Linked DNA regions of Coturnix japonica. The protein of the gene in region 1 interacts with the protein of each later gene in a biochemical or structural test. Links are inferred from orthologs where the notes say so. Each region holds a gene or a part of one and is shown on either strand. Other genes may lie near its edges.

What was found.
Region 2: of the proteins of DYRK1A (region 1) and LIN52, one has a biochemical effect on the other in vitro, tested with the Homo sapiens proteins (3 studies listed by BioGRID). The link is inferred for Coturnix japonica from reciprocal best matches to the Homo sapiens genes DYRK1A and LIN52.
Region 3: the proteins of DYRK1A (region 1) and DCAF7 form a complex in vitro, tested with the Homo sapiens proteins (2 studies listed by BioGRID). The link is inferred for Coturnix japonica from reciprocal best matches to the Homo sapiens genes DYRK1A and DCAF7.

The regions. Positions count from the first base shown.
Region 1 is NC_029516.1:96,481,863-96,485,508, forward strand, and holds part of DYRK1A (dual specificity tyrosine-phosphorylation-regulated kinase 1A), read left to right. Parts: coding exon 1-250; intron 251-1,732; coding exon 1,733-1,879; intron 1,880-2,236; coding exon 2,237-2,377; intron 2,378-2,665; coding exon 2,666-2,972; intron 2,973-3,261; coding exon 3,262-3,386; intron 3,387-3,646. UniProt on the Homo sapiens protein: Dual-specificity kinase which possesses both serine/threonine and tyrosine kinase activities. Exhibits a substrate preference for proline at position P+1 and arginine at position P-3.
Region 2 is NC_029520.1:34,237,047-34,241,193, forward strand, and holds the start of LIN52 (protein lin-52 homolog), read left to right. Parts: upstream 1-1,207; 5' UTR 1,208-1,299; coding exon 1,300-1,318; intron 1,319-1,405; coding exon 1,406-1,480; intron 1,481-1,575; coding exon 1,576-1,613; intron 1,614-2,134; coding exon 2,135-2,201; intron 2,202-2,699; coding exon 2,700-2,783; intron 2,784-4,064; coding exon of another isoform or gene 4,065-4,078; exon of another isoform or gene 4,079-4,147. Other genes in the region: ALDH6A1 (methylmalonate-semialdehyde dehydrogenase [acylating], mitochondrial), read right to left, coding at 762-821, 955-1,005.
Region 3 is NC_029542.1:2,157,956-2,162,243, reverse strand, and holds the start of DCAF7 (DDB1- and CUL4-associated factor 7), read right to left. Parts: upstream 2,821-4,288; 5' UTR 2,580-2,820; coding exon 2,442-2,579; intron 1-2,441. UniProt on the Homo sapiens protein: Involved in craniofacial development. Acts upstream of the EDN1 pathway and is required for formation of the upper jaw equivalent, the palatoquadrate. The activity required for EDN1 pathway function differs between the first and second arches.

The DNA.
Region 1 (3,646 bases):
CTGCTTAGTCTTCGAAATGCTGTCCTACAATCTGTATGATTTATTGCGGAACACCAACTTCAGAGGTGTCTCACTGAATCTGACAAGAAAATTTGCACAGCAAATGTGCACTGCACTGCTTTTTCTGGCGACTCCTGAACTTAGTATCATTCACTGTGACCTAAAACCTGAGAATATCCTGCTCTGTAACCCCAAACGAAGCGCCATCAAGATTGTTGATTTTGGCAGTTCTTGTCAACTTGGGCAGAGGGTAAGTATTGGTAAAAATGATTTGCTGATTGCGCTGTTACCGGATACATACAATAAACATGATATTTGAAAGTTATAGTACTTGATAGCTAATTCAAACTTTAGCAGTGATGACTTAAATTAATTATTGATTTTATTAAATTAAATGAATTTAATTTAATCTAATTAATTATTGAATAAGGTGTTGGATATTGGCAGGCATTAGGTGCTTTAGATAGCAATTTAAATGCCATAGTAGATAAACACTCCATCTTCTTTTTCTCTTTGGTAATACTTTTATAATGCAGAATGCATCAGCACTTTATTGTAGAACTCTGCAGAGCTCTCTGCTCTTAAATATGTTTTTTTATTATCTTCTTACTCCATAATGGTGGTATAAATATGAGTAAAGACATGTGAAAAGGTTTTCTAGGGCAAAGGGGCACATTGTTTTATTTAGATTAGGATAGAACTATAATATTAATTATGAAAAAAAATAAAATAAAAATTGTAGTTGTGTCCTGTTGTTCATATGCTTTGATGATGAGCTGTTGAAAATCTTTCCGGTATAGTTCTTTATTTACTTTAAGATATGTTAAAATATATACAACAGCCATTAAGTCCATAAACAATTCTTCTTGGCTGCCAAAGATGCTTTTTATTTAGGGGGGTAAAGGGGGTGGGGGGTGGGGAGATGGGGTGGAGGGAAGAAGGATAACATTGCTCAGATATTTAATTTTTACTGTGAGTTCACTAAAAACTTCATCAGAACGCACTGTTCAGTGTGCAAGGTATAGTCTAGTTCAGAAGAGAGTACAGACTCTTCTGGTTAAGTGAATCCTATCTGGCCTGAGTGACCACTTCTATTTGGGATACCTTAGTATTAGTCATTGGCATTGAAAACAAAGTGTTAGCTAGAGAGGTAGGGAAAACTTCTGTAGACAGAAGTCTGGCTTCCAAATCTTTTTGAAAAGAAGTTTTTGGTCTAGGATTAAGATAGAATTTTCTGTCTTGTGAAATGAGCAGGATAGCGGAGGGTGTAGCTTCTTGTTCCATGTGGAATCACAGTAATTTCATCTGATTTCATCATATCAAAACTGTGACTTTTGATTTTTATTTTTTCTTTTAAACCACAAGTTTTGTCAGAAATGCTGTGTAATTCTCATGTGGCTCATAGAATAGCTTTTCTCTTGGTGTAAGCAGACCAAAGTTCTGTTGTATAGTTAGCTGTAATTGCATGAGATTACCTTTGTTAACCATAAAGTATAAAATGTTGTCATCATGAGTGAATCTGCCCTTTTTTTTTGTTTAATAACCAGAAGCTAGTGTTTTCTTAAGAATTATCATCTAAATATTTTTATAAATTTATAGTGTAGTTTTAGCATTACTGAAATTTTGTCTTTGCTTTCCCTACTGTGAAAGTGTATTCTATGATAATTCCATTTTGTAATACAGAATAGTGCTCTTTGAATGCTATGTACTATTTTAAATTGTTTTATTTCAGATATACCAGTATATCCAGAGTCGTTTCTATCGATCACCAGAGGTGCTACTGGGAATGCCTTATGATCTTGCAATTGATATGTGGTCCCTTGGGTGTATTTTAGTTGAGATGCACACTGGAGAGCCTCTTTTCAGTGGTGCAAATGAGGTATGAAGCTATTATACAGTACATGTAATTTGATTTTTTTGGTTCTTTCTCACTGTGATATTAATCTGTCTTATTTTTATGCATAAATTAGGAAACACTAATAATTCTAAGATCAGAAAACATCAATGATAGCAATGCCTTTTAGAACTCTAACATATAATATATTCTGTTTCACGGTACCCTTCCCCTTTGTTTAGTTAATATTGTATTTTTCTTAAACTTGCAATTAGTTCACAACTTAATGTGTATGGGTAGTTAACATTTGCTTTTCACATGATTATATAGAGTATTGGACTCTTACTGCATTGTTCAGCTCTATGTCTCATGTTATTCATGAATATTCTTCATGTGGAACAGGTGGATCAAATGAATAAAATAGTGGAAGTTCTGGGGATTCCGCCTGCCCATATCCTTGACCAAGCACCAAAAGCAAGAAAGTTCTTTGAGAAGTTGCCAGATGGCACTTGGAACTTGAAGAAGACCAAAGATGGAAAAAGGGTAAGTTACGTAATCAATATGAAAATACAGAAAATACATTAAAAAGATAAAAATAAAAATAATAATAATAAAAAAGAAGTGGTGATATGTTACGTTGTTTTACATTATCTTACCAAAAGCATGGCTGTATTGTTTATTATCATTGTTCGGTGTCATAAGACAGGGCAATTAAGTGACAATTTACATAGTATTTAATAGTTTCTTACTTTGATCTGGCTGACTTATTTTATGACAAAATTAAACCATGAATTGAAGTGGCTTAATATATGTGACTTGGTTTTCCAACAGGAATACAAACCACCTGGAACTCGTAAACTTCACAATATACTAGGAGTTGAAACAGGAGGACCAGGTGGACGTCGTGCTGGGGAATCGGGTCATACTGTAGCTGACTACTTGAAGTTCAAAGACCTCATCTTAAGGATGCTTGATTATGACCCTAAGACACGAATTCAACCTTATTATGCCCTACAGCATAGTTTCTTTAAGAAAACAGCAGACGAAGGTACCAACACAAGCAACAGTGTGTCTACGAGTCCTGCTATGGAGCAGTCGCAGTCTTCAGGAACCACCTCCAGTACATCTTCAAGCTCAGGTGAGGATTTCCCCTTAATGGAACAGAAAATTATATTTCTGAATCACATCAAAGGAGACTTTCACAGGTAAAAGTCATATCACTGTCAGTCACAGTCATTGAAAGCATTTATATATTATCTAGAACAGGAAAGTGCTCTAACAAAAAAAAAAAAAAAAATCAGCAGATTTACACAACTGTGAGTGATTATCATAGGTCCTGTGTTCGAATCAGTTCAAATCTTTATGCTGTTGTTGTCTGCGACCTTCTGTAAATTTTTTCTCTTGTTGTGTTGCTATGATTTTTATAGGTGGATCTTCTGGAACAAGCAACAGTGGAAGGGCACGGTCAGACCCCACACACCAGCATCGACATAGTGGTGGACACTTCACTGCTGCTGTTCAAGCTATGGACTGTGAAACACACAGCCCACAGGTATGCTGAAGTAGAGCTTTTGTCTGTTTGATGTATATATTTTTTCTGAGAGTGTTGAATCCCTGAAACTAATTATATTAGGTTTACATGACAGGGATTCATGTCATGAGTGGAGGGGGGATGCACAGGTGTCGTCTGGGAAAAATCTAGGAGCTGACCCAAGTTAGATAAGAGCAAGCTCCATCTGGCTTAAAAAAGGGACCAGCTGTTGGCCAGAACTGAGCCAAGAAGTGACACTGGTTGCACCTCTGTGGTAGCAG
Region 2 (4,147 bases), on another chromosome or scaffold:
TTTCCCACTGTACTCCATCATTTTTTTCCCCTTGATTTAGGCTAAAATTGTCAAAACCCCGTCTAAAAACTATTACAGAAGATACACATTGATAGAATCATGTTCAGAACTATTTTAATCTACTCAGTCACTACAATTGCTAAGTCATAAAAACCCTGCAGTTCACAGACATATTTAAAAGAAACCAGTTAATAATTCACTTGGTAAGAATTCTGCCCATTAGTTAAGGAGTTCAGGTAAGTATGGAGAAGAAAAAGCAGGGGTAGAAGATGCAGTTAGTGCTGCAACATGCAGGAAGAACTGGGGCCATATAAGTGAAGAGATTGGAATATAGTGCCAAAGGCTTTGCTGAAGTCTAGGTAGACTGTGCCAACAGCCTTTCCCTCATCCACCGGGCAGTTCACCTGGTGAGGGCAGGGATGCTAATGCTGCTGTGATGGTGGGAGAGGGATCAAAGGACGAATCAGGAAAATAAATGGGGCTGAGCCGGACAGGTCACGGCTGCGAAGAGTGTAATGGATAAGCGAGGCCTCGGCTTGTGAAGGAACGCGGCGGTGGGTTAAAATAAGAATAAGACATGACAAGTGCTGATGTGGCTGGCGTTACGGCGGGACGAGCCGTGCCGCGGGCTGCACTCGGGATAACACCATCTTCAGAACTGAAGGGAGAGCAGGAAATCCGAGCTGCTCCTCGGCCCGGCGGAGCCACCGCCGCGGGCCCCTCCAGCCCAACAGCAAACAGAGCTGCCCGGCCCCACTCACCACGGAGGAGGAGGAGACGGCGGCCGAAGCGATCCAGGGAGCCCCGGCTGTCCGCGGCAGCTGGATGTGGACACAGAGCAGCCCGGTTACACGGTGCTCCCCTCCTCCTCCACACCCCCCACCTCCTCCCCACCGCCCCCCGAGGTGCCACCCGCGGCCCCTCCCGCAGCGCTGTGTCCGTGTGCCGCCTCACCCTGAGCACCACGCGCCGCCCGCCCCAAGCGCCACGAGCCACCGCCGCCATCCCGGCCGAGGGTCACAGCGCTCGGACCCCGAGCGGAGCCCCCAGCACAGGGACCCGCCCCCGCCCGCTCATTGGCCAGACGAGCGCCCCCCCCGCCCGCTGTACGCCCCCCCCGAGGGGGCCTTGCCGGCCGCCAGCCAATCGCTGCCAGGGAGAGCGTCGCCCCGCCCCTTTCCCGCCACCGCCCCCCCATCCGGGGCAGCGATTGGCCACGAGCACTAAGGCGCTCGGGCTCTGTTGTCACGTGGGTGGATTCCCGCGGGCTGTGGGTTTAGGTCACGTGACGCAGGCAAGATGGCGGCTCCCGGTGACGGTAAGGCGCGCGAATGGGGTCATCGTCACCCTGCGGTACGGTCTGAGCGGGCGCCGCTTCACCTCCGTTCTACTCCCTGTGCTGTAGGTGCCGATCTGGAAGCCTCTCTGCTGAGCTTCGAGAAGCTCGACCGGGCTTCTCCGGACCTGTGGCCTGAGCAGTGTGAGTGAGTGCGGCGGGCCCGTGTCGCTGGGGTGATGGCGGGGCTGCCGGGCCGGCCCCGCGCTCACCCGGCGCTGTTCGGTTCTCTCTTGCAGTGCCCGGCGTCGCCGAGTTCGCCGCCTCCTTCAAAAGCGTAAGATGCCAACACCACGGCACTGCGGGTCATACAGGCACTGCGGGAGGGACGAGCTGCGCAGGAACGCGCTGCTCTAAGCCCTGGGGGTGCTGCTCTTACTGCTGGCTTTGGCTGTGACTTGCAGTAACACCCAACTCGTCCAGGAAGAGCTTTCTAGGCATTAGAGTAGCCCTGTAGGGTGCCTGGAGCCATCGCGTTTATTCTTTCAGTGTAACTGGTTGTAAATAGGTGACGGAGCACTGGAACAGGCTGCACAGGGAGGTGGTGGAGTCTCCTTCTTTGGAGATATTCAAGACCCGCCTGGACACCTACCTGTGTGACATGGTGTAGGGAGCCTGCTTTGGCAGGGGGGTTGGACTCGATGATCTCTAGAGGTCCCTTCCAACCCCTACAATTCTGTGTGTGTAAATGCTATATCAGGCTTTGTATGCAGCTAAAAATGTACTTCTCTGAGAATGTTTTGCTTTTTTTTCTTCCTTTCTTTTTGTTCTTTTTCTTTTTCCTCCCCCCCAAACCAGCCTATTACAAGCTCGCCTCCCAAATGGATGGCTGAACTGGAGAATGATGATATCGATATGTTAAAGGGTGAGTATGGGCTCCATGGGCACTGAGGCTGTCTGCGGGTGGGAATTCAGTGCCTACTAAAAAGATGAGCTCAGAGACCTTCTGAAGCCTTGTGGAAAGGAAGGGATGGGGGATGCTCCTCTTAATCTGCAGACCATCTTAACCTGCAGAACATCTCCAGTTGAATGATTCTGCTTAGGAGTCTTTGTCTTGTCAATTGCCTCTATCTTTAGTTGGTCCCACAAGAATATATACTGATAACAAAAATGCTGTTGTTCTCCTTGTTACTGCTTTTTGAAGCAGTAAATCCCTGCTGTTTATTTTTTCTTCATTTTTTTTGATTGCTTTGGAACAGTTAGAATGTCTTGCTGGTTATTATGAGTTGTGAGAGCTGAAGAACATATGCTGTACACTGTAAACCGATACTGTTCAAAGTATAACTTGAATGCTCTGTGAAGCGATAAACATAAGCTGCCACTAGAGGGCTACAGTGTTAAAAATCACGCTTTTTCCTTTTAGAGCTGGGAAGCCTCACTACAGCCAACCTGATGGAAAAGGTTCGTGGCCTGCAGAATTTGGCATATCAGCTGGGACTGGATGAATGTGAGTTCTGTGCACAGATGTGATGACTGTATTATGAATCTTGCCACTGAAGTGTGTGTTTATGTTGCACTTACAGTCAGAAAAGTACGTTTGCTGAAGTGGGGAATGTCACACAATTATGACAGTGCAATAGAGAATTTTCTGAAGAAAAAAAGAGTGCTGCTCTAAGCAAGTCTATCATGGATGCAGTGGAGCCTAATAGAGCACATTTAAAAGAATTTCTTATTTTAGGTCTTGTTTTCTGTTTTGAATGCTAAGGTCCAGTGTTTTCTAGTGGCCCATCAATTTCTGACTTAACTTTGGCTTAGGTAAATCACTCAGTTTGCTTCATTTACCGCTTAGGTGCTAACACTCTGTCACAGAGTATCTGTGCCACCACTTCTGTGACTGTGCGTTTGTGTACTGCCTACAGAGTGAAAATGTAACTGGTGTGCAGGATTCTGTTAGCCATTAGTGCTCTTGTAACTTTGGGCTTCTGCAGTTATTTATTTTCCATAGTCAGCTATAGCAGGAGGTGCTGTCACTGCATTCTAAAGTTGACCTTCATCCTGCTTACCAACAACCAATTTATGTCAGTGCCTTTTTTGAAGGGGGGTGGGGGTGGGAGTGGGGGTGGGGATGGGGGGAAGATGCGTTTTTTTTATTGTCATTGCATATAGGATTTTGTTGTTAATGTGCTGATCCGGCTTTGAAGATTCCAAAGGGATTGTGCTTCCTTTAAACAGTATCTGTGTGTACTGATGCATTTAACTTTTACTGCTTTATTTTGCTCTGTCTTAGACTTCAGTTTTAGCAAACTCTTGAGCTTTACATGAGGCTTTGAAAATTTTTAGGCTCAAAGATTTTTTTCAGCTTTATTTCAGTGGGTAACAAAAAGCAGTTGAACTTTGAAGTCTCGTGATTGTGAGCCTGGAATACATATTTCTTATCAATAGATCATTAAGCCTGTTTGAACACTCTCTCCATAGGTAGAAATTTACTTTCAGTGCCAACATCTACAAGGATTGAATAAAGCTTTTAGTGGAGTAGAAGTTATACTTTAACAATGGAAATCTTAATCAAATAATAAGATTGGCTGGTGGTTTGCTTTCTCGATTTATATAACGTCTCACTGTATTTGCAATTTATTTTCACCAAAGTCTATCTCTGTAACACATTGAGTGCTTTGTGTGTCATGACGTATACATGTATGTTAGGAAATCTTCCATATATAATTAAATGCTGAGTTTGACATGGGCTCTCAGCACTGTTTCTTCCAATACTGTCTTTTTCTCTTTGCAGACCTAGGTTATTAAGAGAACAAGAAGAAAAATCCCAAAGATCTGCTCATTAATATTAAAGAGCTTGTGCTTTTGTTTCAGTGG
Region 3 (4,288 bases), on another chromosome or scaffold:
AAAGCCTGCAAAGCAGCATTAACAGCAGAACGTACAAACACCTCAGCTCCCTGCTATTACGCCTGTGATCCATGAGGCATTCTGAAGCCTGACAGCAGTTTGCTGATTCAAGAAGCTCAGGAAAGCCTAGCCTGAATAATTTTAGTCCTTTCCCCTGGAGCAAAGTCATCTCTCTTTCTGTACCAGTGATTTGATGAGCACAGGTGTAGGAGCTGAAACAAAACTCCTTTGGGGTTCAAAGAGATCTCAGCAATCAGCTTTCTTGTATGTCATACAGCTTGTTAGTGGGAGAGCTGACAGAGGTTCCAAGAGTCTGGGAGCTGGGGGCAGCAATAAGTCATGGCTTGGCAGCTGACTGAGCTGAATCCACCCAAAACAGAGGTGTAAACAGCCATCTTATGTATGAAACCTTAAGTATTTCGAGCTCTGGTAATTACTACAGGAACAGAAAAATAACCAGGAGCTTCTGCTGCAGCAATTAGAAAAGATTTAATGCACTAAGAACCATTTTAAAAATGCACATGGGAGGGTAATGAGGAAGAGATACAGCCACTTATTTGGTTAGATGTTAAGAAACCTAGAATTGCTACTCTGAACTGGTCTTCCAGGGGGAAGGAAAGAAGCCAGTTCCTTAGAACAAAACACTGCAAGGACAGAACAGAAATGACATTTGGAGCCATCAAAAGCCTTCAAAACACAAAGAGAGAGTTAAAGTGGAAGAGAGCTTCCATTATCACTTCCATTTTCCTTCCAGTTGGTGCTACTGTGTGTATTTTGATGTCAGAAGTTGCCAGTATAAAATAGAAGTAAAGAACATATCTTCACTTTTGTAGCAGCAGCATCCAGGCTGGAATCCCCATTCTCATACAATTACTTTCTTGCTTTATACCCTAATTAAATCTCATACCATTTGGTGCTTATATGGACCTGAAGTCAACACAACAAGCCATTCCCGAAGCACAGAGACCAAAAGAAGCTCAGGGGGTTATTCACAAACAGCTGGAGTTAATGCAGTACCGCACAATTCCTGTTTGCAGCAACTAGGAGTGTAAAGTTTTCAGTCTGGGAGTTGTTGCTGTTGTTTTCTTAAATAGAAAGAGTTGCTGACTCAACTGCCTTTATATACTTGAAGCCTGAAATGAAAAGCAGACCTGATCACATTGTAATTGGGAGCAACCCCCAGGGAATGATCCAAACAGAAGGATGTAAACGCAACAGAAACATACCCCTAATTAACAAGTTCCACCACTCCTAAACAAAAAAACACGTTTGGAAGGTTGTTACTTTTGCTTCTCAGAGCGCAACCTACAGAAAACATGATGGAGTTAGTCTTTAAACAAATGAAAAGTCAGCAAGCTCAGACCTGCCTGGAAAGCAGCATTCCCAGAACCACATAATGCTCACCAGCAATTCACAGAATCACAGAATGATCCGGGTTGGAAGGAACCTCAAGGATCATGTAGTTCCAACCCCCCTGCCTAGCAGGGCCACCATACGTACACCTTTACTAGATCAGGTTGCCCATGGCCCCGTCCAACCTGGTCTTGAACACCTCCAAGGACGGGGCATCCACAACCTCCCTGGGCAGCCTGTTCCAGGGCCGAACCACTCTCCTAGTAAAGAACTTCCCCCTAACATCCAACCTAAATCTTCCTTCTTTTAACTTAAAACCATTTCCCCGTGTCCTGCTATTGTCAGCCCTTTCAAAGAGTTTACTCCTCTTCTGGGAGTAAGTTCCCTTCCAGGTCATTGGCTCACATAGGAGCATCCCATCCAGGGCTGCAGCAAGGGCACTCGTTTAGCTGCTGTAAGAGATGCCAGTCTTGCCTTACCATCACCTCACCTCAAAGCCCAATCCAAAACACCAACTTCTGAAACAATTTTCTCCATTAAGCAGCCTGACAAAGCTTCAAAGCACACATGATATAAATGCACAGAACTACTTTGGCAGCACTGTTAGCTGCACACAGACTCCAGGATGCTCTACAGCTATGTCTGTTTCCTCATCTCTCTCTGCCATTCGTGTTCATCGCATGAGATGAGTGTATTAAAGGTTGCTGAGGAAGGATGGCTCAGGTGTCTGAAGGGCGTAAGCCTCCCTGCTTAGATATAGAAGGAAAGACTAAAGACACAACCTCGTCATCAGAGATAAGCAAAGGAGCCGGTGAGAGCAGTTTACAAACACAGCATCATGACAAGAGCACACTATTACTAACAGAGTCCCATACAGCTTATGTATGTACAAACTCGAGCCCAGGCCGTGAGCTTCCTGTCACGCTGAATAACAACCTCACACATTCAAGTCAAAGCTCCTGCCTGAGGAGCAGCAGCACCACCAACCCCAACCCTCGGCCTCCAATACAGAGCCCGTAGCTCAGCTCCCTGCAGCCCCCCAACCCCCTGTTACGGAGGGGCACATCCCCGGCTCGCCCCCTGCCCACCTTGTTGTTATACTCCTCTACGAAGCTGCCCAACGCCAGACGGAACCTCTTGTCCGGCCTCACGCTCCAGTTCATGGCGTACACGGTCCATGGCGCCTCGTATTTGTAGATCTCCTTCCTTTTGCCGTGCAGCGACATGGCTCGGCCGAGGGGGCCCCGCTGGGCCTGAGGGGAGCAAGCAGCGGGCTCAGCTGAGATGGGGCCTGGACTGAGCTTGGAGCGCTGGGCCCAGCCGAGGGGAAGGCCAAGGAGCGGGGACCGGAGAGAGACCGGGGCAGGCCGCGCCCCCAGGCCCGGCTCCAGAGCCCGGACACCGCGAGAGAAGCGCGAAGGCCGTTCCCGATTCGGCCCTCACACAACGGGAGCGGAAGCCACGCGATTAGCCCCGCCCTCTGCGTGCTGGTTGGCTGTGTTGATTGTCAATTAACACTTCTATTGGTTCTATTGGGTGCTACTCCTGTCTGTTTGGCCGAATTCAGGCTTGTATTGGTTACTTTGACCATCAATAACAAAGAGAGCCCGCCTCCTTGCCTGTATAACCTACCGTTGAGTTTGAACACGCCTGAGAAGGGAGGCCGCGCTCCTTCTCGACACCTGATTGGCTCCCGGGGGTCGCAGTGGCGGGAGGCGGGTTCTTGCGCCCCATATTGAAATCCGATTGGATGGAAGCGGTGCTAATCAACCTGAACCCGAGGCAGTTAAGGGCAGCCAGCCGGGCTTTCAGTTGTGTCGCGAGTTCGAGTCCCGTCTTCTCCGAGTAGCGGGTGGAGATGAGCTTATCTACAATTACATGACGTTTAATTATGGGGTTTCGTTTCTAATTGTACGCAGCGGCGTTGAGTAGTACCCAGAGCTGTGCACTGCTTCTCACGAAACGCCTGGGCATGCTGAAGCCCGGTGCCTGGCTCTAGCCCTTCCCATTAAGACCCATGGAGACCCCAGACCCAGCTCGGATTATGGGCGCTCCCCCAGCTGCTCATAAAGCCCCGAGGCCTCCTGACAATCTGGGCTGGGGCATGAAAGGGGGATGAGATGTCCCAGCTGCTGCAAGGAGCTGAAACCTGAGCCGGCTTGGATATAAATAGTAGCTTTGTGGGATGGGGGCTGCGGGATGGGGGGGGTTTCCATCCAAAGATCAGCTGGGGAGAGGCACATCTATGCCCTGCCTGGGGGGGATGGGGATGGGGATGGGGATGAGGATGAGGATTCTCAGTGACTTTCAGGTCTCTTTACAGGTCAGCATCTTGCTCTGTGCTTCCCGTGGTGATCCTCCTTACAAACACAGCTATAACTCACATCAGGTGCCAAAAACATCTTTATTAGCAAAGTGTACACTAAAACTCCAGAGAAAGAGATGCTCACAGTTTTACTACTCTCAAAGGGAGCTCAATATGTTACTTGAGCAGGCGGCCTAGGACGGTCACAGCATCTAACCGAATGGCAAGGCAGCAGTGCTAAGTGGGCTTCTCCTATGGGATGCTGCGGGATTCTGCCAGGAAAAGGGCTGAGGAGGAGGAAGCATCTATCAAACCTTTATCAAAAGAGAGAAGCTGGGAGAAAGGACTGGACTTGAAGTGACTAGGACTTTGCAGCTTTTCGGGATTGTGCTTTTGTGTTTTGTGCTTTATGTCCAGGTCGATGACCAGTCAGGTTCATATAGGGATTTGTGGGATGTGTGTTGGGGTTTGCAAGGTGCAGTTGGCCTTGCTGGAGAAGTCAGTGCCCTAGGACTCGTGCTGAAGCGTGCTGAAGTGGAAGGGGTTGTTGGCCCTTAGTGTCTCGGTGGCCATCAGGTAGGACAGGGAGAGCATCTGTCCTTGTCCTGGGCTTCCCACCTGCAGCTCTCC